Drosophila melanogaster: one gene and its partners. Changing the gene in region 3 together with the main gene of any one other region gives a genetic interaction. Each region holds a gene or a part of one and is shown on either strand. Other genes may lie near its edges.

The links.
Region 1: of Scm (region 3) and w, changing one suppresses a phenotype caused by changing the other (phenotypic suppression), as found in Drosophila melanogaster (4 studies listed by BioGRID).
Region 2: of Scm (region 3) and mxc, changing one enhances a phenotype caused by changing the other (phenotypic enhancement), as found in Drosophila melanogaster (2 studies listed by BioGRID).
Region 4: of Scm (region 3) and Pc, changing one enhances a phenotype caused by changing the other (phenotypic enhancement), as found in Drosophila melanogaster (2 studies listed by BioGRID).

What each region holds. Positions count from the first base shown.
Region 1 is NC_004354.4:2,790,204-2,798,808, reverse strand, and holds w (white), read left to right. Parts: upstream 1-2,342; 5' UTR 2,343-2,500; coding exon 2,501-2,572; intron 2,573-5,680; coding exon 5,681-5,954; intron 5,955-6,028; coding exon 6,029-6,683; intron 6,684-6,744; coding exon 6,745-7,060; intron 7,061-7,263; coding exon 7,264-7,395; intron 7,396-7,465; coding exon 7,466-8,080; 3' UTR 8,081-8,210; downstream 8,211-8,605. UniProt on the Drosophila melanogaster protein: ATP-dependent transporter of the ATP-binding cassette (ABC) family which transports various molecules including bioamines, neurotransmitters, metabolic intermediates and second messengers.
Region 2 is NC_004354.4:9,237,065-9,245,527, forward strand, and holds the start of mxc (multi sex combs), read right to left. Parts: upstream 6,404-8,463; 5' UTR 6,141-6,403; coding exon 6,095-6,140; intron 6,037-6,094; coding exon 5,869-6,036; intron 5,806-5,868; coding exon 5,631-5,805; intron 5,562-5,630; coding exon 5,261-5,561; intron 5,157-5,260; coding exon 1,190-5,156; intron 1,128-1,189; coding exon 425-1,127; intron 351-424; coding exon 197-350; 3' UTR 1-196. Other genes in the region: Larp7 (La related protein 7), read left to right, coding at 6,812-7,082, 7,143-8,463.
Region 3 is NT_033777.3:9,632,545-9,639,789, forward strand, and holds Scm (Sex comb on midleg), read right to left. Parts: upstream 5,068-7,245; 5' UTR 4,612-5,067; coding exon 4,066-4,611; intron 4,008-4,065; coding exon 3,090-4,007; intron 3,025-3,089; coding exon 1,993-3,024; intron 1,932-1,992; coding exon 1,794-1,931; 3' UTR 815-1,793; downstream 1-814. Other genes in the region: SpdS (spermidine synthase), read left to right, coding at 1-562. UniProt on the Drosophila melanogaster protein: Polycomb group (PcG) protein. PcG proteins act by forming multiprotein complexes, which are required to maintain the transcriptionally repressive state of homeotic genes throughout development.
Region 4 is NT_037436.4:21,313,718-21,319,597, reverse strand, and holds the start of Pc (polycomb), read left to right. Parts: upstream 1-1,577; 5' UTR 1,578-1,687; coding exon 1,688-1,801; intron 1,802-2,115; coding exon 2,116-3,174; 3' UTR 3,175-4,292; intron 4,293-5,880.

The DNA of each region.
Region 1 (8,605 bases), on a different chromosome or scaffold from region 3:
TTGTGCGACTAACTAACTATGTGACCCGAACCCATAACACATTCCTCTCTTTAAAAGTTGCCCAAACTTTGGCAGCAGCCCTCTCACATTATCCTTGGCCCCCGGAAAACTCCAGTACCCCACCCCCCCACCACCACCACCGACCATTTACCACTTTTGCCACTTTTTCCATGGATCGTACTTTTCGGGGCATGGCAAATGGCAGCGCTGATTTACTTTGCAATTACAGCCAACTGAGTGCCTTAGATGAAAGTGGGCGCCGGCTGAGGTTGGTATGAGGGGAGGGGGGGCGTGGCCCTTAGAAAGGGGGACCAAAGCAATGAACTAGAAAGCTGTCTGATTAGCGTGCAGCTAGCAAAAGTTTCTCCACTCACACACACACAAACACATACACAGATTTATTGAGCCCGCTGTCCGCGTCAATAATTTGCATGGGTTAAACGTACAGAGGCAAGAAAATCTGGGGGTTAAGTCAACCCAGACCAACCCCCCCAACCCCCCACCAGACCGCACTTCCTGTGACAATGGCTGGGGACTTACCTTTGCCGATATATATATATATATATATATATATACATATGTATGTAGGTGTGACTGTGCGGAGAGAGTATAAAAGTGTGTGTTGAAAAAAACTTTCTACGCCTCAGTTCAAGTTACTTCCTTTTCGCTTTTCAATACGGTGTTATTGCATTGCATTGTGGAATAGCAAACCAATTTAAAGAATCCCAAAGGTAGGGCAAAAAAAAATGTTCAATTGCAGGGCTAATAAGCAAAAATCAAGTTAAGGCCACTCTAAAAAAAATGAACTGCATACTTATACGTATGCAATTAACTTTATTATTGATTTAGAGCGCATAAAAACGGCAAACTAATTAATTACAGCATTCCCTTAGAGCATTTCATAATCGGTTTTAAGCACTTTTTGTTGTAATGCCATTTTTCAGCTCTTTCGCTGCTGCGACAGGCGAGTGACAATAAATTGTTAAGTGCAAAAAGTTTACAGCATTTGAGTGAGTTAGTAATGGCAAACACACACGAACACGAACTTCAAGACGGTCTAAACCCGATTCGAGCTCCACTCAACCAACATCGAAGAAGCCCCATAAGTGTCACTGAGCGAAAAACTCGGTTAGTTGGCAAAAATGAGTGAAACATTGACGTTTCTTTGTTGTCTGTCGCTAGATCGGCCCACAAAGGAAGTCTCTTACGAATCGTACATACATCTAACTTTGAGTCAGCTAAAGATCTTCAGTGAAATAGGAAAATCATTTATTTCGAACTTTGAAGCTGTTGTAGAGCAGAACATATATGCATTAAAACTGGCACATGAAATAATGTTACTAGTGCTGAGTGAGACTTCTACAAATATCACATGCATATGCATAATTAACTTGCAAATCGAATCAAAAGCTATTATTCTGAGCTAAACTCTCAAAAGAAAACCATATTCATTTGAAGACCACTTAATCGTCGTCAGCAAATTAATTCCTGCAGATTCCTCGGCAACTGCAACTGCTAACCTGTTACCACATCGTCCGTGAAAATGGTATTGATAGCCTCCCGGAAAACCCGTCCCAGTCGAGATCCATATCCTGGACCAACTGGCCCCGATGATGAAGATTGATAATGCCCGGACAGCTGATGGCGGCAGTTCATGATTCCGGGGCCTGAGATGAGGTGCTAACGATGACGACAACGACCGGAGTGTCCGAAGTACGGGTGCGGATAGGCGTACGGGAAACGGGGAGTGCGGAATGCGCATCATCAACAGTCGCCGTTTGATAAATCATGCATGCAAAGTACAGTGCAAACCCCCGAAACGGGACGACAACAGGCGGATTAACAAGAACTCTCTTATTCACGATAAGAAGACGCTTCCCACTCAACCTAATCAGTATTCAAAGACAGCCACTCAGCTTATGAGTACTGCCCAGGTGGGGTACTATCATATTGGTGCAAAGGTGGTCGAATTTTTAATTATTTTGAACGGAACACATTAGCTAAACATAAACATGTTGTCACTAGTATGTATGTAAGTTAATAAAACCCATTTTTGCGGAAAGTAGATAAAAAAAACATTTTTTTTTTTTACTGCACTGGATATCATTGAACTTATCTGATCAGTTTTAAATTTACTTCGATCCAAGGGTATTTGATGTACCAGGTTCTTTCGATTACCTCTCACTCAAAATGACATTCCACTCAAAGTCAGCGCTGTTTGCCTCCTTCTCTGTCCACAGAAATATCGCCGTCTCTTTCGCCGCTGCGTCCGCTATCTCTTTCGCCACCGTTTGTAGCGTTACGTAGCGTCAATGTCCGCCTTCAGTTGCATTTTGTCAGCGGTTTCGTGACGAAGCTCCAAGCGGTTTACGCCATCAATTAAACACAAAGTGCTGTGCCAAAACTCCTCTCGCTTCTTATTTTTGTTTGTTTTTTGAGTGATTGGGGTGGTGATTGGTTTTGGGTGGGTAAGCAGGGGAAAGTGTGAAAAATCCCGGCAATGGGCCAAGAGGATCAGGAGCTATTAATTCGCGGAGGCAGCAAACACCCATCTGCCGAGCATCTGAACAATGTGAGTAGTACATGTGCATACATCTTAAGTTCACTTGATCTATAGGAACTGCGATTGCAACATCAAATTGTCTGCGGCGTGAGAACTGCGACCCACAAAAATCCCAAACCGCAATTGCACAAACAAATAGTGACACGAAACAGATTATTCTGGTAGCTGTTCTCGCTATATAAGACAATTTTTGAGATCATATCATGATCAAGACATCTAAAGGCATTCATTTTCGACTATATTCTTTTTTACAAAAAATATAACAACCAGATATTTTAAGCTTACCATGAAGTCCTCATTTCTTCCACCTTTCATTCTCAAATATTTTCTTGCTACACTACACTACACTACACTACATTATACATCGACCCCAAATAGTTGGATGTAGTAGATCGTAATTAGGGACGCATAACCAGTGGTGGCGTGGGAGGAGTCGGCTTAAGTTGGCCAACAACATTGCTGGGTGTCTATAACTCTAGGCTTGCCAAGATACTAGATACTGTATCCGTATCCATTTCTGGTTGTGTACTCGCATCTTCTACCTGATCTTAATACCTCGTTGTTTGCACGTCTCGCTCGACGAAAAATGTACAATCTAGTCTTATCTGGGTCATTATTTGGCTAGACGAATGCTTTGGGCTCAGCATCTGATATCTAGGTATCTTCGTGCGTATCTTGCTTTAAATTCTTAGCACCTCGGCTTGTATAACAAAATAAATAAGTGAGTACGATTTGCATATCTAGCCCCGGGCTCTTTGAAACAATTTTGAAAAGTCTCAAAAAGTTATACAAGGAGATAAGAACTTTAATTCTTTTGGGAAGTAAGTAACGCAGTAAAGGTAACAAAGTATTGAAAAATATGATATGTATGGAATATTTGAAGCCATCTTTAATTATATGTTCGTTGCATATATGTACATATTGGGCCGTTTACGCTCTGATATTTCCTTAATAATATCGAGTGGTCGTCAGCTTTTCCGCTGAATAATTGCGCCTCCTTCAGTATTTCGTTCTCATCAAAGTGAATGACTTTTGAGTGCACTCATTAGCCACTCGCACAATCGACAAAACGGGAGGAACAACAAATTGAGTCGCTTCTTTATTCAGTCATTTCAATTTGTCAAGTTCATCACGATACTCCTTCGCCTCCCTGCACAGCGCCATCTAGCGCCCACTCCTCGAGTTTCCTTCGTATTTCGTAAGTAATTCAAAAATAGCACGCAAAGTAAATAAAAAAAAAAGTAAGCCAAAAAATTAAATAAATATGAAATGTAGCATCTTTCGCTACTTATTTCAACAAAATACGAAAATAGGGAAAAGGTGGGAGAGTAAACCAGAGGAGGCAGGGAGATAAGAAAACCCAGTGGGAAAGGGACGGCGAAAACAGAAAAGAAAAGAAAACTTTTTAATAACATTTTTCGGCCTCATTTGTTGTGAAAACAATTTCGCCATGTCCCTCTATCTCTTTCCCAGCCATATGGCCATCTCGCTCTGCTCGAGGAGTGCCTGAAAACGGATATTACATTTTTTCGCGTCTACCTCTCGTAACGTCACCAATTGTGCTTTTTTTTTGGTAACAGGCCAAAAACTGGACACTGAGTGGCTAGAAGAATAAGCTGTCAAAGCATCGCAGCAGAAGATGAGCAGTGAAGCCTCGCTAAGGAGGAAATGCAACAGTTTTCAGGCTTTGGTCTTTTAGCTAGATTTTATATGTAGCAATGTAAACGATAAATCCAAATCCCCCAATCGTTTTGAAAAATAAATTTAATTTTAAATAGTTCAAAAAATGAAAGTTCTTAGCAGGGCTCACTGTAGCAAGGACCGCCAGGCGCTGAGTGCAAGGTGGACATTATTTTTTCTTGCTTTTATTGAATGTCAGCTTTTTATTTGGCCCTCTTCTTCGGATTTTGCCTTTCTCATTTGCTTGCATTTTTTTGCTTAATTTTTTTTATGATTATTTATACAAATTATTATGAGAGCAGCGGCGGATAAAATGCTTTCCATATTGTGGCCATCATTTTGTCTTGTTTTTTCCATTTTTTTTTTTTTTTGCCTCGACGCCAATTAGTGGATCCCTGTTATTTATGCTTTGCCGCAGGCCGCTGCGATGGCAAGAAACCCCACAAATGGAAAACGGAAAATTGTTTATGAAAATGAAAATATGCGCGAACGGAAGTGGTATGGGGCGAAAAGTTGGGGCGGGGAGGATGGCTTGATTTGACCATACCGCAAACGTCTTCGGTTACCGCCATTTCGAAAAGGGAAGCCCCACCTGGGCGAAAACTGACAGCTCAGTGGTTTTGGAAATCACTTTACCCGTAAACAAAATAACGTAAATAAGAATTTGTATTTCGGATTTATAAACTTAAACTCAATTGCAGAAGTAGTAGTTTGAACACTATTGCGTTCAACATAATTGGATCAAGTAAATGGACTGCTTTATACTGCTCATTGCACTTATCTACAAGAGATTGAGTTTTCCCACCACCCAAAAAAAGCCAAAGTATCCTTAAAGTTTTATATTTAATAAAAACAAAACTGGCGAAGCTCAAAGTCCCCAAACGAAAGCCAAAGATGCCAGCGATTTACACTCGCAATTGTCTTATGAGGTGGCAACATGGTGGAGGAACCTTGCCACTGCCACCACCCATCGTCCCATCGCCCCATCGTCCATCGCCCAACGACCTGTGACCCCGTCAACCGTCCACCGCCCACTTTCAAGGCCATCCACCAAGTGCCAGCCCTAATTTGCACATTTTAAATAGGCCTCGCCATCTCCTTTTTGGGAAACTTGGAAAACTCGGATCTTGGGCATTTTTATTAAACAGATGGGCTCCTTCTTTATAAAGCCGAGGGGGGGGGGGGGGGTTAGTGCCCGGAAACAGGGACGGCGGAGCAGGGATTGGCCAGGCTGGGCTAGATTTATGCACAGACGCCTTCATTTTTATGGACGAACGCCGTGAAATTGAAAAGTTTTCAGCTTGAAACCTTTTCTAGATGCACAAAAAATAAATAAAAGTATAAACCTACTTCGTAGGATACTTCGGGGTACTTTTTGTTCGGGGTTAGATGAGCATAACGCTTGTAGTTGATATTTGAGATCCCCTATCATTGCAGGGTGACAGCGGAGCGGCTTCGCAGAGCTGCATTAACCAGGGCTTCGGGCAGGCCAAAAACTACGGCACGCTCCGGCCACCCAGTCCGCCGGAGGACTCCGGTTCAGGGAGCGGCCAACTAGCCGAGAACCTCACCTATGCCTGGCACAATATGGACATCTTTGGGGCGGTCAATCAGCCGGGCTCCGGATGGCGGCAGCTGGTCAACCGGACACGCGGACTATTCTGCAACGAGCGACACATACCGGCGCCCAGGAAACATTTGCTCAAGAACGGTGAGTTTCTATTCGCAGTCGGCTGATCTGTGTGAAATCTTAATAAAGGGTCCAATTACCAATTTGAAACTCAGTTTGCGGCGTGGCCTATCCGGGCGAACTTTTGGCCGTGATGGGCAGTTCCGGTGCCGGAAAGACGACCCTGCTGAATGCCCTTGCCTTTCGATCGCCGCAGGGCATCCAAGTATCGCCATCCGGGATGCGACTGCTCAATGGCCAACCTGTGGACGCCAAGGAGATGCAGGCCAGGTGCGCCTATGTCCAGCAGGATGACCTCTTTATCGGCTCCCTAACGGCCAGGGAACACCTGATTTTCCAAGCCATGGTGCGGATGCCACGACATCTGACCTATCGGCAGCGAGTGGCCCGCGTGGATCAGGTGATCCAGGAGCTTTCGCTCAGCAAATGTCAGCACACGATCATCGGTGTGCCCGGCAGGGTGAAAGGTCTGTCCGGCGGAGAAAGGAAGCGTCTGGCATTCGCCTCCGAGGCTCTAACCGATCCGCCGCTTCTGATCTGCGATGAGCCCACCTCCGGACTGGACTCCTTTACCGCCCACAGCGTCGTCCAGGTGCTGAAGAAGCTGTCGCAGAAGGGCAAGACCGTCATCCTGACCATTCATCAGCCGTCTTCCGAGCTGTTTGAGCTCTTTGACAAGATCCTTCTGATGGCCGAGGGCAGGGTAGCTTTCTTGGGCACTCCCAGCGAAGCCGTCGACTTCTTTTCCTAGTGAGTTCGATGTGTTTATTAAGGGTATCTAGTATTACATAACATCTCAACTCCTATCCAGCGTGGGTGCCCAGTGTCCTACCAACTACAATCCGGCGGACTTTTACGTACAGGTGTTGGCCGTTGTGCCCGGACGGGAGATCGAGTCCCGTGATCGGATCGCCAAGATATGCGACAATTTTGCCATTAGCAAAGTAGCCCGGGATATGGAGCAGTTGTTGGCCACCAAAAATCTGGAGAAGCCACTGGAGCAGCCGGAGAATGGGTACACCTACAAGGCCACCTGGTTCATGCAGTTCCGGGCGGTCCTGTGGCGATCCTGGCTGTCGGTGCTCAAGGAACCACTCCTCGTAAAAGTGCGACTTATTCAGACAACGGTGAGTGGTTCCAGTGGAAACAAATGATATAACGCTTACAATTCTTGGAAACAAATTCGCTAGATTTTAGATAGAATTGCCTGATTCCACACCCTTCTTAGTTTTTTTCAATGAGATGTATAGTTTATAGTTTTGCAGAAGATAAATAAATTTCATTTAACTCGCGAATATTAATGAGATGCGAGTAACATTTTAATTTGCAGATGGTTGCCATCTTGATTGGCCTCATCTTTTTGGGCCAACAACTCACGCAAGTGGGTGTGATGAATATCAACGGAGCCATCTTCCTCTTCCTGACCAACATGACCTTTCAAAACGTCTTTGCCACGATAAATGTAAGTCATGTTTAGAATACATTTGCATTTCAATAATTTACTAACTTTCTAATGAATCGATTCGATTTAGGTGTTCACCTCAGAGCTGCCAGTTTTTATGAGGGAGGCCCGAAGTCGACTTTATCGCTGTGACACATACTTTCTGGGCAAAACGATTGCCGAATTGCCGCTTTTTCTCACAGTGCCACTGGTCTTCACGGCGATTGCCTATCCGATGATCGGACTGCGGGCCGGAGTGCTGCACTTCTTCAACTGCCTGGCGCTGGTCACTCTGGTGGCCAATGTGTCAACGTCCTTCGGATATCTAATATCCTGCGCCAGCTCCTCGACCTCGATGGCGCTGTCTGTGGGTCCGCCGGTTATCATACCATTCCTGCTCTTTGGCGGCTTCTTCTTGAACTCGGGCTCGGTGCCAGTATACCTCAAATGGTTGTCGTACCTCTCATGGTTCCGTTACGCCAACGAGGGTCTGCTGATTAACCAATGGGCGGACGTGGAGCCGGGCGAAATTAGCTGCACATCGTCGAACACCACGTGCCCCAGTTCGGGCAAGGTCATCCTGGAGACGCTTAACTTCTCCGCCGCCGATCTGCCGCTGGACTACGTGGGTCTGGCCATTCTCATCGTGAGCTTCCGGGTGCTCGCATATCTGGCTCTAAGACTTCGGGCCCGACGCAAGGAGTAGCCGACATATATCCGAAATAACTGCTTGTTTTTTTTTTTACCATTATTACCATCGTGTTTACTGTTTATTGCCCCCTCAAAAAGCTAATGTAATTATATTTGTGCCAATAAAAACAAGATATGACCTATAGAATACAAGTATTTCCCCTTCGAACATCCCCACAAGTAGACTTTGGATTTGTCTTCTAACCAAAAGACTTACACACCTGCATACCTTACATCAAAAACTCGTTTATCGCTACATAAAACACCGGGATATATTTTTTATATACAAACTTTTCAAATCGCGCGCCCTCTTCATAATTCACCTCCACCACACCACGTTTCGTAGTTGCTCTTTCGCTGTCTCCCACCCGCTCTCCGCAACACATTCACCTTTTGTTCGACGACCTTGGAGCGACTGTCGTTAGTTCCGCGCGATTCGGTTCGCTCAAATGGTTCCGAGTGGTTCATTTCGTCTCAATAGAAATTAGTAATAAATATTTGTATGTACAATTTATTTGCTCCAATATATTTGTATATATTT
Region 2 (8,463 bases), on a different chromosome or scaffold from region 3:
AATGTTGTGTGAGCAGGTGGTGCTGCTCCGTCTTAGCTTACAGCGAAAAAAAATAAATACTTTAATAATAACGATCCTTGGTGCACATAGTAATTAAATTCACTTCAAAACTGTCTCCTTAAAAAAAAACTTAGAGATGCCAACAAATGGTTCTAGATGTAGTATGTAAACGATAACAACTTCAATGGAGCTGGAATCAGGTGCCGTGCAGATGTGAGAGTATCGACTCGATGTCCTCGAACTCCACGATGTGGTTCTCGCTCTGCAGCTCCTTCTGCTGCGCAGAGTTCTCCGGTGTCTCCTCGCCGCCAATTCCGCTGCTGCTGTTCGCTGCTATCGGAGCTGAATTGCTGCATGAATTAAAGAACGGTATTATTATTATGATAAGCATACAAAAAATAAAATGCATATGTTCACCACTTACATGGTGGCCACCTCCAGATCTTCCTCATCTTGCGGCCCACTCCTGGATGGGGGCTTCTCCACCAGCGGCGTAGACGTGGCCGAAGGCTGTTCGCCAGCAGCAGCAACTTCCGCTCCCGTTCCACTTCCTCCACTTACACTTGCACTTCCCCCTGTTGCCGCTGTCCCGCCACTATTGCCGGTCAGGCGGCGTATCCGCTTCTTGGGTATATTGCGAATGGCGCTGGCCACCGGTTGGCCCAGACAGAGCACCTGGGCACTGGCTATGCGCAGCGTATGCAGCTGTTCGTCATCGGTCATCAAGCGCATCTGATAGCTTTTGAAATAGCTCGATGGCTGACGTATCATCGGATTGCTGGACTTTGGTCCGTTGTCCGCATATGTGAAATTATAGGTAAAACGCTCCTGGCTGCTGCTCAGGCACATGTCCTGCTCGAAGTCGCTGTCATCGGGCTCCGAATCGCATTTCGATGGCGGTGGATCCTGTTTAGGTTCTTGTATTGTTTGCTGAATTTGCGGCTTTTGCTTTGGAGATTTTTGGGTGGATTCCGCCTCCGCTACAATGGGCAGTGCCGGAGCATCGGTTGTGGAGGAGGGTACCCTTGCCTCGACACGTTTCTTGGCCGGTTTCTTGGTATTTGCCTTGATTTGGGTCTTCGTCTTTGCTCCTTCAGTGGATTTGGAGAGATCTTCCGGAGCAGGAGCTAGTTTTGCAAAGACAATATATTAGTTTCAATACCCATTCGATTGGATCTTAACTACTTACTTTTATTTTCGACTAGGCGCGAGGATCGTCGCATACAGAGATTGGCTGGCTCCCCGTTCTGTACCTTTTTCGGGCGTCCACGTTTTCCAGGGGCAGGCTGTGCCGCAATTTCAACCGCTGCTCGATTTACCTTTGGTTTGATTACAATCGGTAATGATTCCTGTTTTTTCGCAGATAGATTGAGGGCCATGAGCAGAGCGGGATCCAATTTGCCGGCTGGCGGATCTGCTGGCGCATCTGTGGCGGCACCGACTGGCGGACCAGTAGCCTCTGTGGACTTAACATTCGGATTTGGTTCTATTTGCTTTTTAGCTGCTTTTGTTTTCAGTGGTTCGATGTGCTTTCGATTTTTTGGCGATTTTTGACTGCTTGGATTGGCCAGTTTGGCATTTTCACGCATTGCAGTGAGCTTCTTGTTGGCAGTCTTTCTCCCTTGACCTTTGATCGGTTGGGGTTGCTCCTTAAACTTGGCCACTACACGTTGGCGTTTTTCATTCAGCTGCTGGCGTTGGTGTTCCTGACGGCTTGTAGAGGCCGTTGGAAGAGCGACGGATGAAGGATCGTCCGCCTCTGGCGGAGGCGGTGGAGGCGGCGGAGGAGCAGCTGGCGGTGTTAGAGGAAGCGGCGGAGGCGGAACAGGAGCAGCCACCGGTTTAGGAGGTGTAGGTTTTGTTTGCTGTTCTCCACTGGTATCCGTCTCCTGGGCCTGCTCTTTGCTTGGTGTCAGCCAATTCCGGATAGGATAGCGGACCTCCCCGTCCTGGCTAACTAACTGACCTGGCTGACTGTCGATAGCAAGCATGGGCAGAACTGCATCCTCAGAACCGGCTGCCTTCAGCCACTCTTCGTCTTCCGTGCTGCTAATGTTCGATAAGTTATCTATGTTTAGTAGCATCTCCTTTTTCTTGCTGCACTTTTCGTCGGCATTCTCGCCATTTGCCTCTTCCCCTCTGCTTTCCCCCTTTCCGCTGTGAGAACTTGACGAGGATGAGGAACTCGATGATGAACTACTGGAGGAGCTTGAGCTCGAACTGGATGAGGACGATGAACTGGTTGCCGAGGAGCTAGAATTACTAGATCCTTCAATAATTGCCTCGGGCAGGCCAGGCAAAAGTTTATAGTGCGGAAGCTGCTGCTGATCGGAGGGAAATGAGCCAGCTGTAGCGGACTCCGCACTGTCCACCGCCTCACTGCCAAAGGATCGAACGCGTCGAAGGACGGTGGGCTCCAAGGACAGGACAACGGGTTGCTTCACAGCATCTGGTGTCTTTTCTAAAACCGTTTCATTCTTTTCACCATCGTTTTCAGTTTCCTTCAGATGTTCATCCATTGGCTTCTCTGGTCTTTTCGGTGTTTTCTTATTGTCCTCAGCATGTTTGTCCTCCGGATGAAGGCTTTTCTTTGAACACTCCATTTCTATTAGCTCTTGATTCTTCTGTTGCGAAAGCTCATCCTCTGCCTCAACCTTTTTCTTCTTGGGCGTTGACCGAACCTTGGGTTGTTTCTTATCCTGCGGATCACCCCACTGTTGTATTGCGCACTGCGCATTCGCATCGGTGTGTTCCGCTTCATCCGGACGATAATAGGAACTGCCTGAAGAGTACTCAGTCTTGGCAGCACTGCCTATCGGAGTACCGGGCATCTGTCCAAAAGGTGTCAAGCGAAATCCAGGTGTGATGGCACTCAACTGGGGCGTATCCATAATACTTTTGGTATCCGAACCAAAGAGAAAGCTGCTACTGGGCAACTTGCCATATGGCGTGTCCAGAGGTGGAATGGCCATTCCTGGCGTGGGTGGGATGATAGCGGCTACACCAACACCAGCTTCCTTTGATGTGGTGTCATCTTCTACGGCTCCGCTTGCTCCTGCTCCAATGGGAGATGCTTTAAACGGAGTGTCCAGAAGCATGGCCATGTTGGGTCGCGACAGTTCTGCCGCTAAGGCCTTCGCTTGCTCCTGATCCTTTGCATATATGCATCCTTGTTCACTTTTCTTCTTCTGATCCTTTTCCTCGATCTCCGCTTGGGTTTCGTCTATGGTTTCTTCTATGGTTTCGTCTATGATTTCTTCTTTTGCCTCAAACACCTTCTTTTTCTTCAGGAGCTTTGGTTTCTGAGGAGTGATAATCTTGATGTTGATCTTCTCAGTGGAATCCCCAACACTGCGCTGCGGTTTCTTTGCCAGATTCATGGGCTCCGCCTTCGCTTTGACCATTGGAGCCTTTCGTGCTCTCGACGAAGCTGAAGTGGGTGTATCTTTCTTCTTTGGACGCCTCGAGCGGCCGGAGGCCTTTACCTCCTCGCGCTTGGAGTTAATCTCACGCAGCCGATTTTCAAGGTCAGAATTGGAGCCATGCAACTGGCGCTGCCAGGCGGCCATATCGTTATCTACAACTGCGTCTCCTCTGGCGGCGGAGCCTACATCTGGCTTTCCTTCAATCTTCTGCTGCTCCTGGAGATTCTCTTTGCTGGCCTCGGCGCTGTCATCGTGAGCGGTCGACGATGCGCTGCAGGCAGAGTTATTTTTGGGCATAATTTTCTTTTGATCCTTATCCGTCTTGGTTTCCGATTCCGCCTGGGAGATGATTCGCTTGCAGGCCTTGACCGCTGCTTGTCGCTTCTGTTTTCTTTTGGGCGTGGCCACCAACGGAGGAACCGGAGCTGCTGACGGAGCGGCAGCTGGAGGATGGGCCCTGATCACCGTCTGATTGCTGCACTCCTCCATGGCGAAGAGTGGTGGCACTCCTCCAAGGCCCTCGTTTGAGCTCAGGTCGCAGGCGGCCTGGATGATCTCCACATGGTTGATAATTGGCTTCTCTTGGGCTTTGGCCAGCAAACCAGGTCGCCTAGTGGACAGCGGCGTATTGGAATGCAGGACGCCACCAGGAGGAACCTTAGGGGAAAAAGTTAATGTTCGTACATGCGAAGTTCTCTTTCGGGGAGTGGATAAGCTACGAAAGGCCTTTACGTTAATTATTCCCGACGTCGAGGGTGTCACTCTCTCCATGACTTGTCTAGATGAATCCAGGGATGCGGGTGGAAACTTTCGCTGCTCCTCCTCTAGTTGATCTATCGGTTGCTCTTTTGCCGCCGTTCCCTGGCCCGCCTTGTTGTCCACTTTGGCTGCATCTTTTATCAACTGGACTGGAGGCTCCACGCTTGGGGGAGGTGGTTGTTTCTGGGCGCTGCTAATGATAATGGAATTGGGGGGCAGCTGATTGGCAGACAGAGTAATCGGCTCCGGCAGCGATATCTCAATGTGCGAGTCATCAATGTTGGCAAAGGCATCCGGCCCAAGTTGCTGGGCTACCCACTCGTTGTTCACCAGGAATGGAAGATGCGACAGCAGTCCACCGTTCGAGAGGTACATGGGAAACGTCAGCTGCCCGGTGGTGGCGTCCACACAAACCTGACCAGCAGCTGTCGCCTCCACCTCGCTGAGCATTGACGCTGGATCGGCAAAATTTATATTGAGGCCTTCGCTTGTAAAGCTGATATTGGACGTATCCAAACCAGCAACCATTTTTTGGACACTCTCGTTGGAGTTCAGTACGATAAGCTTGGAGATGGAGAAATTGGGATCTGCATTGGTTCCTGCGGTGGCTGCAACGGCGGTGCGAATAATAAGCGGTGTTTGCGGCGGCACGGGATCCACGGCCTGTTCTGTCGGCAGCACATCTCCATCAGCAGCGGGAACAATAGCAGCCCCAGCAGCATCAGAGGCAGGCGACACACCAGGGTCCTCCTCATTTGCCAATGGTTCATCCCCGATCACCACCTCCTGTATGATGCGATCGAACGAGGGATCCTTCTCGGTGGCCTCCAGTATGTTCTTCACTAGACCATCCAACATGGCGTCACAGCTTACCGACGGATTGTTAACAGTCACCGTCTGCAGCGCTACGTTAATATTCTTTACCAGCGTCTCCTGGAAGTCCTGATTCTTAATTATCGCGCAGGCCAGTTCCTGAAATCAATGTAAATCGAAAGAGTGTTTTTTGTTTAGAATACATAATAGATGCACTATTGGTTAATTAAGCAGATATGCATTAAGCATGTCTATGGACTTACAGGCATGCTTTGCGGCGTGAGCAGAAGTGGATTGGACTCGGTATGACCTTGGCGCGGCGTGGAATTGTTGCGCGGACCAGGACCATTCGCCGGAAGTAAGTCATCCTCCTCCAAGTCCTCGGTGGCCGTTGTGCTCTCGCCATCCTCTTCGTCCAGTTCCGCCTCGCAGTCATCCTGGCTGCCTAGGAAACTCTGCCTGACCTTGTCGCGGTTAACGCTGCAGTAGAAGTGTGGCGGCAGCAGACGCGGTCGCTTGCTAAACGAAGGCGAAGAAATGCTGTTCACGGGAGAATGGGTGCGCCTGGGGAAAAGGGGTAAGAGAGCAATGAGAATTCCGATGTGCTTGTGTCAAGGAAAAATCTATAATTACAAGCGCCTTCTCTTGCGATGCGACTGTGATATGGTGGGCTCGCCTGGGGTGCTGCTTTCATTGGTACAGCTACTCCTCTCGCCGGCGGCTATCAGTTCGCTGACCCGTTCGGACAGCTTCATCTGCTGCAGCTGCATACGCATATCCAGCGGCAGCTTCTGCACGGCACCGGCCACTGAAAAGAGAGATTTTCGGTCAGCCGCAAAAAAAAAGAAACGCAAGGAGCGTGCTAATTTACCCAAGCTTGTGATCTTGACATGCTCGCAGATTATCTCCTCCAGACCCCCGTGAAGGAAGTTGTGCGTCTGCAGGCCCTGTTTAAGGGCCAGGAACTCGTGGCGCAGGTGAGGCGATGTGCGACACAGAGTGTGTGCGGCCCTTTTTAGATTCTGGTTGACTAGGTAGCCTACAAAATGGAAGAGCATAAATATTGCGAGCTAGAAAAGCGTCCAGGGAAAACCTACCCAGGACCAAGCGAGCCACGTCCGAATGCAGGACAATCGACTCCATGGCTGGACTTTCCGACTCAGCTAAGCGTCACCATCCACTCGCTTTTCGCCTTGCCTTTCTTTTTTTTTTCGCTTGCAAGACTTTAGGTTTATCGAACGCACTTGTAATGCCTTATTATTGACTGTTGCAGGTTTAATCACTCAATAGTTAGTCGGAATTGAATCAGCGCTTTAATTCGAGAGAGAATAAACCATTTTCTCGCCTATTCGCCGACTATTTTCGTTTTGTTGTTGCCGATTCTAGCGGCGCACTGTACAACACACATAGGTTAGCATAGCATCTGTGTTTTTTTTGCCGCCCGCCAAAACAACGCAGTAGGGTTGCCACAGCGCCGAACTATCGATATAGTCCCGTTGTTTGCGCTTGGCTGCCAAGCCTTATTAGGAGCGTGGGAAATAATGGTAATAATTAAAGCAAAGAAATACGTCTCTTTCGCTTAAAACAAATTATAGCAGTTTTTATTGCTTTGATGGTCTTGCTTCAATTCGTTTTTATGTGTACGTTACAGTACTTAGAATCCGATATTCGTTAAACTATCGATATGGGAATGCTGCAAATACCTGGCATCCCAGCAATTCATAACTAGACGGCGTTGCCAAATAGATCAGAACGCAAAAACCAAGTGCAATATTTTATTCGAGTGACTTAGATTACTGGTTAACTGGCACTCAATGGCTGCCAAGAGTATCGAGAAGGAGAAGGGCGAGGGTCAGGAGCCCGCGACATCAGCGGAGAAACCCGATCCAGCCGCACCCACTGAACCAGCTGAGGAAAATTCCAAAGAACCGGCGCCGGAAGACGCATCGCCGGATAAAAAGGATGGTGGACGCAAAAGGAAGAGGCATTTGTTCAATTCGATTCGCGGTCAAATGGAATTCTACTTCGGTGACGCCAACTTGAGCAAGGATCGCTTCCTTCGGCGCTACGTAGAGCAGGATCCATGTGAGTAGCTAAGGTTGGCTCACCAGCCAACATAACACTGATCATGTTATTCTTTTACAGATGTACCATTGGAAATCTTTCTCACTTTCAATAAGATAAAGACGCTCACCCAGGATGTGCAGCAGATAGCCAAGGCACTAAGCAACTCCCAGCTTCTGGAGCTGGATGAGACCGAACTAAAGGTCAAGCGACGTACCAAGCTACCAGATCAGCGCGATGTCAACGACAAAACCTTGTATGTAGAGGCCCTGCCTGCAAATGCCACTCACGATTGGCTGAAGGAGGTATTCAGCCGCTACGGACCGGTGGCCTACGTGTCCCTGCCCCACTATCCGGGCACTAAGAAGATCAAGGAATTTGCCTTTATCGAGTTCGAAAAGAGCGGGTCCTTGGAGAAAGCTGTGAAGGCTTTTGCCCAGATACAGGGCGTTTTGTCCGTAGAAACCGATCCCAGTGATCTGGCCAGTGTGCGCTCCTTTCAGCAGCAGCAGCAGATACAACAGAAAGCGGAGCAGCCGCAGTCAGAGGCTGAACAGGTTGAGTTGCCAAAGCGAAATCTAAAAAGGGAGGCCACCGACAAGGATCGCGAGGAGATACACGAGGTGAAACGGGTTAAGTTGGAGGAGGGCCAGCCTAGCGAGACCTCTACAGCTGGGGAAACAGCGAGTGAAACGGATGCAGAGGGCACAGCCGAAGCCTCCGAGCAGGAGGACAAAACAGAGGCAACCGATGGCGATGAAGCTGCCAAAAAGCGCCGTCGCAAGCGCAAGAAGAAGGCGATCGTGGACAAGCCAAACATTGAGCCCAGTGCCCTGGAGCTCAAGGTGCTACCCAAGACTAGTTGGAGCAGTATGCGCAATAAGTACTTGAATCTACAGCGTCGCATCGTCAGTGAGGCAAAGAGCAAGCTGTGGCGAGAAAATCACCCACAAAATCAGCAGCACCCTCACCACCAGCAGACCAGTCATCCAAACCATCCGAAACCTTCACAGCTGCCCGAGGCAGTTAAAGAGGAGGAAACCGGAGGCGAGGTCCCTAGCGATGGCGGTGAAGGTGCCGTAGAAGCAGCGCCTGTGCCAGCCAAGCGTCGCAAGGCGGTGCACAAGATGAACATGAATTTCTACGGCGCCGGCGGCGTGGAATCCACCAAATCCGAAGAACCTTCGCAGGAACGCACGCCGCTCTTTAAATACGAGCCCGGGCTGATTGTGGAGTGCTCCCTGCTAAAACCATGCACCAATGTTAAAGAATTTAAGGCTGAAATGCGCCAATATCCGGATATTAAATATGTGGATATTAAGGAGGGCGACCAAGTGGCCCTACTACGTTTGGGCACGCCTGCCGCAGCCGAGGAACTGCTACGCCAGGTCAACTGCTCCGA
Region 3 (7,245 bases):
AAAGCATCCACTGGTCGAGGAAGTGCATCAGGTGGAAATCGACGACCGTGTCGTCGAGCTGTCCAAGCAATATCTCCCAGCGATGGCCTGTGGTTTCGCCAACGAGAAGTTGAAGCTTACCATTGGCGATGGATTCGACTATATGAAGAAACACAAGAACGAATTTGATGTCATCATCACCGACAGCTCGGATCCCATTGGTCCGGCAGTGAGCCTGTTTCAGGAAAGCTACTACGAGCTAATGAAACACGCGCTGAAGGATGACGGAATCGTGTGCTCCCAGGGCGGTAGCTTCTGGCTGGACCTGGACTACATCAAGAAGACCATGTCCGGCTGCAAGGAGCACTTTGCTAAGGTGGCCTATGCCGTCACCTCCGTTCCGTCCTATCCCTGCGGCCACATTGGCTTCGTCATGGGCTCCCTGAACAAAAACCAGGACTTCGCTACTCCCAAGCTTGGAAAGTCCGAAATCGATTCTATAGACCTAAGGTACTACTCCTCCGAGGTTCACTCCGCCGCCTTTGCCTTGCCTCGATGGGTGCAGAAGCACTTTTACGAATGACCAGGTTGCGGAAAGATTCGTGTGTATCTGTTTGTTAAAAATAAATATGATAATAATATGACTTGTTTATCATCGCTTCTTAAATTCTTGGATATTTTCAACAAATGCTGACTCTTGCAATGATTCATTTTTAGTCGAATTTTTGTAGCCTGAGTATTTTCCTTCCAATCCGACTACCATCTTTCAGTTATTTTACTGTTGAAAATAGAACAAATTGTAATGTTTATTACGTAATGATATATACAGTTGGCTCTATTTAATTTTTGTATTTGTAAGTGGATGCTGGGTTAACATAATGAGACTTATTGCAATATTTTACACGACCGAATGTTACTCTCATTTATATATCGCATATATTGCAAAACTTTGAAAGGAAGCGTTTCTTATATGCAAAAATGACCTTAACTGCATGTGAATAATTAACTAAAAACTGATATTCAATTTCAATAACTTAATAGAAATTAAATCTTCAACCTGTTTAATGACTAATTAAATATTGTTATAGTTAGGAAACGCAATTGATACATAATTACAAAATTAGATGTAAAATATGTACAATCATTTAATATTGGTTTTTATTTTCTCGCCTATTCTAAAGTTAATTATCATTTCTTTTGTGTCGGATAGATTTTGGTGTCTAATGTGCGTGTTTTTATGTGTAATAAATATAATGTATGTGCATTGCGATTTTGGTAGCCGAGCTCCAGTTTTCGAAAAAGTCGAATCATTTTGTGTCCAATTGAGAACTATTTCACATTTTTCGAAATAGATGGATAAACTAATTATTGTGTGTGTACGAATACTCCACTCCTTTGACTGGGTAAATTTGAATAAACCTATAAAAATTCCTAATTCAAGTATAATAATTTTGTCTAAATAAATCAATTTGTAAATGTGTATTCCAAAAAAAGAATCACGAGCAGTTGGAAAAAAATTAATAATAATGGTTTTGAAAACCGGAGCTTGACTGTGTATAATTTGTTATGCGATTGATTTTGTATAGGGAATTTCATGTCTTCGCGATTACATTTGTTATAGCGTGTTTTATATTATCAATATAATAAAATAGGGTAGGGGTTTTTTCTTCATGAATGGCCAACACATAACACATCTATGAATATCGTTCATGTTTGCTTTGCTTTACGTTAAAGGGAGGTACTAATTTGTTAACAATTTCTATATAAGTCAAACCCGAACCGAGTCCGCTGCCTGAAACTTAATGTTTTTCTGTTTAGAGTGCCAGATTATTTCGACGACCATTGACCTTATTGACTAAATTGCAGATTTTTAAGGCTGGTCCTAGCTTCAGGCCCATGTACTTCATCATCATCTCTGAATTTAGCAATAATAAAGCTTTACCATCGATTTCCTACAGACGAAAATTAGATAAGTTACTTTATTTAAGGTAATTGGTAATAGCTACTACTTACGTGCTTTCGGAAGAGATCACCATGAACTGCAAGGGAGTTGTCGTTGCTCTCGATGTACTGGATCACCTCTTCGATGGTCCAGTCGATCGGCTGCGACCGCAGATGTGAGTTTGCCAAAGCAGAAGTGGGCGTGCTCACGGGTGAGGTAATCGCGGTGTAGCTCGGAGAAGCTCCCGCAGTTGCCGCTGCTCCAGCCGGCGCGGTGGCCGCCTTAGCCGCTGTAACTCCACCTGCAGCCAGTGCAGTGGACGAGGCTGACTGGCAGCCCGTGAACGGCGTGGACACGGATGTCGGCAACGAGGCGCTTGACGAGAGCGTCGTCGGACTCTTGTAGTAGCTATTCGAGGGCTTTACATTGGCCTGCTCTGGATGAACTTCTGCCACAAGAGGTGCCAGGTATTTGCCAATTGTGCTGGTGTTCGCCGATCCTCCGGCTAGGCTCGTGCTGGACGACGTTGACGAGCTGCTGCAATGGCTGGTAGATACGTGCGTGGTCTGGCTCGTATCCTGGTTTCCGTTTGTCGCAGAGCTATTCGTATTCGTGTTTGCGTGGTGTTGGAAGCGTACTTTGCGCAGAGCCTGCGTTGTGGAGGAAGTCTGCGCGTTCGCTCCGTTGGGCTCCGATTTGATGACCACCTTGTTGCTGGACTTGCTGGCACTGTTGTTGTTATTGTTGAGACTGTGATTGCTGTTTTGCTGGCTTGCAGGCTCCTTGCCATTGTTCGTCGAAGTTTTCGACTTGGACTCCACTGGCGATTTGACAGCCAATTCCTGCTTGATAATCTTCTCAGAGGGTGATGTCGTTGCCGAGTTGGATTGACGGTTTCGCTTGTCGGCGAGCACTGGCGAGGAAGGCGGTGTGGCTGACTGAGTCAGTTGACGCTTCCGACTATTGGCGCACTTCTTGCACTCCTCCGTCTCGTGGACCAAGGAAATGAGATTCGCACATGCCCGGCATGTAGTGCACAGCGTTTCGATGAATTGGGCGAGGCTTTCGTCATCCTTCATTCGCATTGGCGATGGTATTTTTACCTTTAAGAAACGAAGAGTATATTTTAAACATGCTTTTCATTGAATTTAATTGATCTTGAACTCACTGTGAAATTTTTCCCCGCTGCCGTCACGATATGAACATCTCCTTCCAGGGCAAACAGCAACTTTGAGAGCTGTTGCGTATCCGTGCTGGCAGCTAAAACCTCCTGCAGGCAAAGCTTGGCCAGCGTTTGGTAGGTGGGTCCCGTCACCATGCAGGGCAGTTTGGAATTGTTGATGAACGGACCGCCCTTGCAGTTCGGATGGAAGTGGGCTGTGGCAGGGGAAGCGGGAACCATAGCCTCGGACTCAGCTACAACAGTGTAGCGGGGTCGAGGGCATCGCTGTTTGCTAGAGCTGGAGTCCATGCGCGATTTATGGCCCGGTGGCTGCATGGGATGACAACTTCTAGCGCACCAGCCGGCGGGAAAAATGTCACGCGATCGGTAATTGCACCAGTAGTCGAATGCCCCTCGCCAACCATCGAATGTTACATGGATCTGATCATCCTTGATTGCATCTACTGTTGCACAGCAGATGAGCTGCGGGTTCTTCTTGTCGACAGCCTCGAGTTTCTGGCCCACCTTGAACAGGTTTTCTTCTGGCTCTGGCGGCTCTGGCTGGAAGATCTCTTCTGGCGCCACCATGGCATTGTTGAGGATCTTGCACAGATAGCCGGGCCAGCTGGATGCGTTCATGCGGAATCCCAGAGGCGGCTGCAGCATGCCACCGTTCTTTTCACAGTGTCCAATAGCATGGATCTCCGTAGAATCGACCAGCCGCCAAAAGTCATTCTGGGAGTCACTTCCATCCAGGCGTAGCCGCAGTCTGGAGCCAAGCACTCCGACCACGGTGGCAATGCAGGTGGAAGTGACGTTGCGCGGATCCAAAGCCTCCAGCTTCATTCCGATTTTAAAATCATTGTTGGGAGGATTCTGAGCCTGTTTGAAACATTTTGCAGGAGCAGCTTCGCTACCCGTTTCCTGGAAACCACAAAAAGTATGAGATTGGGGGTTAAAGCATTATCCCAGCTTGACTTACCTCTAGATAGGCATCCCAGTCGAAGACGTGGAAGCTCTCGTATTGAAAGGGCCCCGTTGGTGCGGGCGCTCCACTGGCCAGCAACTTGCGCTCGCTTTCCGCCAGACCCTTGCCCGATGCCGATCCGCCGCTGTGCCTGGTCGAGCAGTTCTTCTTCTGGTGCTTGTTCATGCACATGATCGAGCAGAACTCCTTGTTGGGCGCCCCATCGCGGATGACGTTGTCGCACTGGGTGCACGCCCCCTTGCTGTACGCCTTGCGGAACTCGGCAATGCATGTTTCCGAGCAGAACTCCTTCTTGCCGGTCTGCGTGGGCAGGACGTACTGCAGCGGTAGCTTGCCCTCGCCGCACCAGGTGCATGTGGCTCGTTTGGCCGGTCTACCTCGTTGCCGTTGCGTGGACGCGGGCGATGTTGTACTTCCAGGGGATGCGGATGTGGATGTGGAGGAGGCGGATGCGGATGCGGAGGAGGTGGCATTCGTACTGGCCCCTGGCGCAGCAGAATTGCTCCCGCTACTGGTACTGCTATCACGTCCGCCCGACATGGTTTCTCGCGTGGCTGTCCTAGTAGTCGCACTTGCTGATTCGCGCCGGCAAGCCCCTTGGCATCTCAGGCGATTTCGATTTCGTGTGTTCCGATCCGGCGGTCAAATCGCATTGCGGCTGCCTTGAATCATTAGCCACCAATAGCAAGTTTTGTTTTGCAGCACTAACTTTCCGATTTCTTTCGATTTGGCCTGGCGAAATTTTGCGGCGTTCTTGAGGTCACGTAATAACAAATTGGTGGCCAAATCGCATCGCATCACCCAACGAAAACAAACGCGAGCCGCACAATTAGTTTCTGGTTCACCAAATATCGAGCTTTATATTTAGAGCGCTGCGCGGATCTTGTTACTCGGTTTCAATCCGAAATTAGATGATTTTGAGTCGCTTAAACTCCAAAATGTTAGACTTTTTTTACTTTTACGCTCGGTTCCGCCATATTTGTTTTTCTAGTGGTGACATTCAGATCTTTGCGCATATCGATAGTTGCTTACCTGTGACAGCTCACGAAGCGATGAAAATAATCAACTAATGTGACTAATCGAAAAATGTTATCGAAGCAACTAAATGCAATTTTAAAATAACGTTAAATGGGAAATCACATAACTGACAATAAATAGTCAATTTAAAGAGCAAAGTAGATAATGCTCAATACTTTTACCACAATGTTGTATTTAATTTAACTGCTAATATAAATAAATATTTGTCATTTTTAAAAACGTAAGCCCTTATTATAGAAAAGAAATTTGGATTTCCTGTCAAAAATTGTACAGCGTAATGTAAAAACTATTTAGTCTAGTAAACTGAACCGTTTTGGTTTTGAGAATATAAACTTATAACCGAATTCCTACGTTTTAATATCAGCTCATAGTATTTCCCAGTAAAACTAACAAAACGCTCGTGAATCAAATTTGCACAGCATCAAGTGGGCGTAAATTGGTGAATAATATAAAAAGTCTGTAAATTTGAAAGCGCACGGCACACATCAGCCGAAAATCAAAAAAAAAAAAATGGGTTAGTCAACAAAACTAATATCTACCAATTTATAGAACGCTCTGGTATGTAAACATTTCCATTGAACTGGGAGAAATTCGCAATAAAGCGGTTCAGATAGTGGAAAATGGGTTGAACAAGGGAAAGTTTTGATATTTTAATAAAATCATGTATAACATAGGAAAGCGGTTTTCGTAATTACCAAAACCATGAAACAATCAATACTGAAATACAAAAATATGTTACTATCAAAATAATGGCTTATACGATTGGCCTAAGGCTTTATTAGGTCAAGCAAATTAATATTACTTGCTTACCTTTCGTTAATTTTATTTGCTGAAGAGCGTCGCAAATGTCAAGAAGTCTAGCAAATTACTAGAAATTACATAAGTGTGTTTCGTTTGCAGTAAATTCAGTAAGTCGAAAGCGGCTCAAAGATGAAACAAGTTGGAAAAACTTTTCTGGGATTAGCCGAAATGTATATTGGTCAAACTTTTTGGCTAACTTCTGCTGCTGTTTGATTTTTGTTCGCTTTGCCTAAATGGTCCGTAACTTGATTTAATTGATGTGCTTCAAAGAATAATCCGCTCACTTAGTCGCGTTTCAAAGATAACCAACTGGAAGCCAAATATTGCGGTCGAAAAACTTGATAACACTGTTAATTGAATGTTTTGAAGGCGGCGTGATGTCCCTCTTTAATAATCAATAAAGACATTCCTAATTATTAATGATTAAACTTGACCGAAACCAAGTTCCCTGACACTCACACAATCGTCAAATCGCGCATAATTGGATGGGACCATCGGCTGCCCATAACAAGGATAATTGGATGAAATGAGGCGGCTGCCTTTTCTGCTCCTCATTAAATGCCCGTTTACCGTTTAGTCGCCTGTCAAATCCTTGATGGGCTATTAGAAAAAGGGGTGTCCAGAGACGAGTTCTTGAGTCATTGACTTGTTACGCAAATTGGACAAAAGAAATTTCTGGCTCCGAGTGGGCACTGGAGTGGGGATTGAACTTAATAAGCATATTCATTAATGGGTGTACAGAACCAAGTACAAGGTTGCATCTTACACCCTTATGGATATCCTTTCCTTCTTGAATCCCTAAGCAAAAGTAATCAGGCAAGTAGCTAGACTTTACTAGTTGCTCTATTAAAAATTAAAAGTAAATTAAAATTGCCTCGCACTACCAAAACAGCATTACAGCTCGCATAAAAGCACGTATAAATTGGCGGGAGTGGCATTTTGACGGAATTCAATCAGCCATAAAGCATCCTGCTGGGCAGGAAATGGAGGCGTTTGCCTACGTGCTTAATTACAAGCCGACGCATGCACATTCTGCATACATAAAAGGCGAAGACACGTGTTCCAAGCAATTAAAAAGTATGTCAAAGTGGGTGATCAACGCGCCCAAGGACGCAGGACAATTGCGAATGCTGGCAACACTGTTGCTTTTTTTGAGTGATGCGTGGGCTAGCCAAACTAGTTGATGTAGATGGCATGAAAAGTTTGGGGGGTCCCAAATTATAAATTGCTTATCTGGCTGTGTGTACAATGTGGATAGCAATGTGATATAAATGGTAATTGAATTCGTTTTCAAGGTAATCAGCAGTAATGATTGCTGCTTTTCTTAGCCTAAAT
Region 4 (5,880 bases), on a different chromosome or scaffold from region 3:
AAATAACCGGAAGTTTTCGTTAAGCTGTGTCTCTCTTTTGTTACTTTCTCTTTGCGATTTTGACACTTGGCATTGCTTCTCCCAATATAACTGTAACTGGCTAGCTTTTATCGCCTCTCATAGTTTTGACGTTTTCTCTGAGCTTTCTCTCATCGGCATTTCCGAGTTTTCTCTTTATGACTTTGACATTTACCGTTGTCCGTCGCTCCCGTCCGGTTGTGTGGCACGTTTTTCTGAATGAATCCGCTATTCGGGGCTTTCGCCTGGAGATGGGGTGGTTTGCCGTTGCTATTATTATTTCCTATATGCTATAAGCTTAATATTTTCGCCAGCCTTATCAGTTGGCCAGTTTTCCTAATCGCTATTCGTTAGTTTTTCGCTCCGTACAATTGAACTAGGTATTGGTTTTTCCCCTTTTTTGTTCGGTTGTTTGGTTGCTTGGTGTTTTGTTTGAAGCCACTAATTAAATATCATCTATGTAAATTGTAACTAGCTAAACATATTGACTAATATTTTATAGGTTATGCGCTAATTGGTGCTGTTTTCACTATGAATTAAACATTAATCTATTTATAGGGTTCGCAACAATTTGCTTGGTGTTTTTCTTTATGTTTTGGTTAAAGCTTTTGGTTAATTTCTCGTTTTCGTCGTTAAGTGTGAAGATTCTCCATGCGTTTCGCGTCCCTCGTCGAAAATATTGCGATTGATTTCAAGGGAATGGGTGTTATTTCAGTTGTTGGTCTTGGTGTTGTTGTTATTTCACTATCACAGCATAAATAAAATAATGTCATCGTCGTTGCCGCCCCCGCCACGCGAACCCTCGGCCAACATACAACTGGCATAAAATATCTGCAGTCGGCCACTTCCTTTCACATCCATCCTGAGCTTTCGGCGCTCTTGTGCTTTCTCACACTCTCTCCCGCACTTTCTCTCCCTCTTGAGGATGTGGCATTTGAAGAGTTCGAAGAGGGTAACTAGTTCAGTTGTAATCAAGTTAATTATCAAACTTAATTGAATAGGAATATGGGGCGAAGTATATGTGGCAATTTGTGATACAATAAGTGAAGCAGGACAAAGGAAAATCAAAACTCAATATGGGATGAAAGCAACACAACGATAAACGTTAACGAAAGTATAATATTTCGTTACCTGGAATTCAATTCAACATGCAGTTTAAAAAGAATACTGTACAAAGGATTCATTAAAAATGCGCTTATTAAAATTTGATTAAAAGCTATTTTATATTTAAGCTAATTGGTTTAACTTCTCGCCGGTTTAGTAATTTGTAGAAACGATAAAAGAAAATAGTGTATAAGGCAACAGCGCCAAAAAAATGTTTTCTAAAACATTTATATACCCCATTTATAAATAATAGAAAAATGTCAAGAAATTCTGAAAATATTTTAACAAAACATTTACATTTTAAAAACGCACAATTAGGTGTGTCTAGTCATCAAAGTTTTGAGTCTTTGCTAATTTTGCCAGGAAAGGGTGTGCGACACGGCTACTTGCTAAGATATGATCCCAGTTCTTTGTAGCACGGTAACTCTGCACCTCGCAGCACTATCGATTGTTTACATGAAAATAATCGAGTCGGACGACTATCGACGTACGCAGAATTGTAAACCAGAAGTTAATTGCAAATAAAACGAATAATAAAACGTTCCGAGAAGATTATTAATTAAAAATGACTGGTCGAGGCAAGGGGAGTAAGGGGAAGTTGGGGCGCGACAATGCGACCGACGATCCAGTCGATCTAGTGTACGCGGCTGAGAAAATCATCCAAAAGCGCGTTAAGAAGGTGAGATGAGCGTAAACAAATTCGAAAAAGGCGACCAAAACGGGATGCTCCGCTAAAAATGGCAAATGCAATATGCGCAGCACACGCAGGATATATGTATAGTCCACAAGGTCACATGTCCTTCGACATTTTTTGGCCAGAGGACATCTGCTGCTGCAACCACCATTTGCACGATGCATGTGTGTGTGCGTAGTGCGTTCGTATGTGTGTGTGTGTGTATGTGAGGCGTGTTTTTGTTTCGCTGAATGGAAAATCAATTAGTTGTCTAAGAAAATGCAATCCACCCCCACTCCTTCACTTACTCGATTTTCCAGGGCGTCGTGGAGTACCGTGTCAAGTGGAAGGGCTGGAACCAGCGCTACAACACCTGGGAACCGGAGGTAAACATCCTGGATCGCCGCCTCATCGACATCTACGAACAAACGAACAAATCCTCCGGAACTCCCTCCAAGCGAGGCATTAAGAAGAAGGAGAAAGAACCCGATCCGGAGCCGGAATCCGAGGAGGATGAGTACACCTTCACCGAAAACGATGTGGACACGCATCAAGCCACCACCTCATCGGCTACCCACGATAAGGAGTCGAAGAAGGAGAAGAAGCACCATCACCACCACCACCATCATCACCACATCAAGTCCGAACGCAACAGTGGACGGCGCTCGGAATCTCCGCTGACCCACCATCATCATCACCACCACCACGAGTCCAAGCGTCAGCGCATTGATCACAGCTCCTCCTCGAACAGCAGCTTCACGCACAACTCATTTGTCCCCGAGCCGGACAGCAACTCCTCCAGCTCCGAGGATCAGCCGCTGATCGGCACCAAACGCAAAGCCGAGGTGCTCAAGGAATCGGGCAAGATTGGAGTTACGATTAAGACCTCCCCAGATGGCCCCACTATTAAGCCTCAGCCGACCCAGCAGGTAACTCCCAGCCAGCAGCAGCCCTTCCAGGATCAGCAGCAAGCGGAAAAGATTGCCAGCGAGGCTGCAACGCAGCTGAAATCTGAGCAGCAGGCCACCCCACTGGCCACAGAAGCCATAAACACAACGCCCGCAGAGTCCGGAGCTGAGGAAGAAGAAGTAGCCAACGAGGAAGGCAACCAACAGGCGCCACAGGTTCCTTCCGAGAACAATAACATACCAAAACCGTGCAACAACCTGGCTATCAACCAGAAACAGCCGCTTACTCCTCTTTCGCCGCGTGCCCTTCCGCCGCGCTTCTGGCTGCCGGCCAAATGCAACATATCCAACCGGGTGGTGATCACAGACGTCACCGTAAACCTGGAGACCGTTACCATACGCGAGTGCAAGACGGAGCGCGGGTTTTTTCGTGAGCGCGACATGAAAGGCGATTCGTCGCCAGTAGCTTGAGCTTCGACCCAAACAAATGTCGGGAAAACAAACCGGAAAACTGATACAATTGTAAATAGACAAACCAAAATGCGAGAAAGTTGAGAGAAGAATTATGCAGAGAAATCCACACTAAATGTTGCTAAGCATTTTCTCTTTAGGACTTAACTAATTTATTGTATTTATTTTTAGCGTAGGTTTTAGTTTGTTGTTTTATTACAATGTTTAATGTGCAAGAGTAGTTTAAGCAAGCGCAAGTCGGGTATTTACTAAATGACTTTATATATACATAAATTTTCGCTCATTTTTTTTATCAGCATTGCAATGATTGAATATTTTCCTATTTAAATTAAAAATTTATTTTTCTGCAATATCACTTTTTAAGATTAATCTGGTTGTCATTTAGTGAATAGGCGAAATGCTGCGGCTGCTTAACTTGCCAATGCAATAGATTGTAAAACTTGCAGCGTAGATAAATATGTATGTACATGTTACATATATTTACCACATATTGTATATTTTTTATAACACTTTGAATCTGATTGAAAACAACACAAGACACTCAAATGCTAAGAAAACTCCATGCGAAACCGAAGCAATTGTTGATTACGCTTACAAATATATACAATAGAAGATGCATATATTCGAGTAGTCACCACCACGTTTGCCGAGTTGGCTATCCCAATGTTGTAATTGTTTAATATTATATTTCCTCGCGCCGACTGATTTTACAAAAGAAAACCCCAAAAACATATATACAATTGTAGATTTACAAATATTTTTAGACTTTAGCTAACCAAAATCTCTACGTAATATTTATTTTAACATGTTCTCTTAGCAGTCATTCAAGACTCAAGTGCTGCCTTTATGGGTTCAGAGCGGTGCAGTGCACAGATAATTCCAAATCGAGCCCATAGACTCATTACTTAAATCCTATGTCTATTTCACAATTTTTTTTCACGCTATGAAACAGAAAACTACGTGGGAGCTGCGGGGAATTTACAAACTCCTGCTTATTTCCCATGGGTCCTGTGCGTATGTTTCTATTTGTCTTAGCTCTTTATTGGCTAGTTTTAGTTACGGCGTAAATTCCACACAAAACAGCAATTCAAAGCGTATATTTTAAGCTTTTTAATATAGTTGTAAAGTCCCAAATGAGAAGACTTTACTCGTTGAGTTTTTGTAAGAAACTGATTTTATTTGGAATTATCTTCGGTTTAAATAGGTGACATGAGAATCGCATCTTAAAGTAAATGGCCTACGCAGAGGCCTAAGTAAATAGTCCCCGCCTTATCGAGGTCCCACGCTCGGGCACATCTGCCTATCTTGAGCGGCGAGGACCTTATCTGTGGTCTCCCACTAAGGGACTATTTTAGGAGGCGGGGAACGATCTCAAGTGACTGACTCATGTAGTGTGCACTTAAATTACATGTTTTTGAGCAATGCACCCATGTCGCCTTAGATAACAAAATCCTAAATATAATTTATCGCTCTCGATTCATTTACATAAGATATGAACGGAGCCCAAAATTGTAAGTCTTTAAATATATTCGTGTTCATGTGTGAACATTCTGCCAAAGGGCCAGCAAGCTGAGATGTACATTAGTATATTAGTTGCATTTATAACAGTAGTGGACTGTATTTATTTGATATATGTTCATTTATTTTGCAACTAAGATTTCAATGGGCCTAGTTTTTCTGGCTTTTAATTTTATTGGATTACAATTATGGTTTATATTATTTTTAATTCAACAATTTGTACTCAATTAACTTATTTTAAACATTTTGCTTTTTCTATGTAGAAGTACATTTTCTATTAGTGGACTGTATATTTTTATTTGTTATATTATTTTATTGTTTATTTACTATTGATATTTATAGTACTGGCAACGGACCTGCAAAGGTTATTGCTTGCATTCTTTGTTGCACAGCACATTTCCGTATGAAATATATTATTAATACTATCATTAGTATTAAAGCAATAATTAATCCAGCATGTCCGGAAATATGATGGAAATGTAAATCTTTCAATTTTTGATGGTTCTCTTTCATAAATTTAATTTCATTATTCAATCGTTCAAATTCCTCAGTATGATTTAATATTGATAGTTTCAGCGGATCCCAAATAATCTTCGGCACTCCACTAACTTCTCCTATATAAGGTGTTGATAATAATTCTTCACTTTCGGACTGAATGTTATGGTGGGCAACTAGAATTTTATCGTCGGTTCTTGCCGTACAATATGGCGCAATGCTTAAAACTCCTTGCTGAGGCAAATCAAACAATTCAATTTGAGAGCCAGTACATTGCAGACGGACTTTTGAATTCGCAGGAACCTTAAACAACCAACTACTTTTCTTTTCTAACTCTACCCAGTAACTTTTAGAGTCGACTACTGTTTTATAGATGCAGTTCGCCGCTTTATCTGGCTTTAGAGGCTGAATCTCACATGCATTATCATTCGCTGAATTCCAGGGCCAACTTCCTTTGCATATTCTCTTATTTAGTTGCCATTTCTGACATTGATTTAATGTGGCTTCCGTCATTATGTGATAGGAATCTATCTCAAAATTATAAATTAAATATTCGGACGTTGTATGCACCATTATTATCCGATCTTCATTTCGAATTGGCACCGGAATAAGCCTGAACAATTTGGATGGATGCTGCTAAACAGAGGCACTTTTGCACTAATGATCAATTTATCGTCGATGAATAAACCCCTG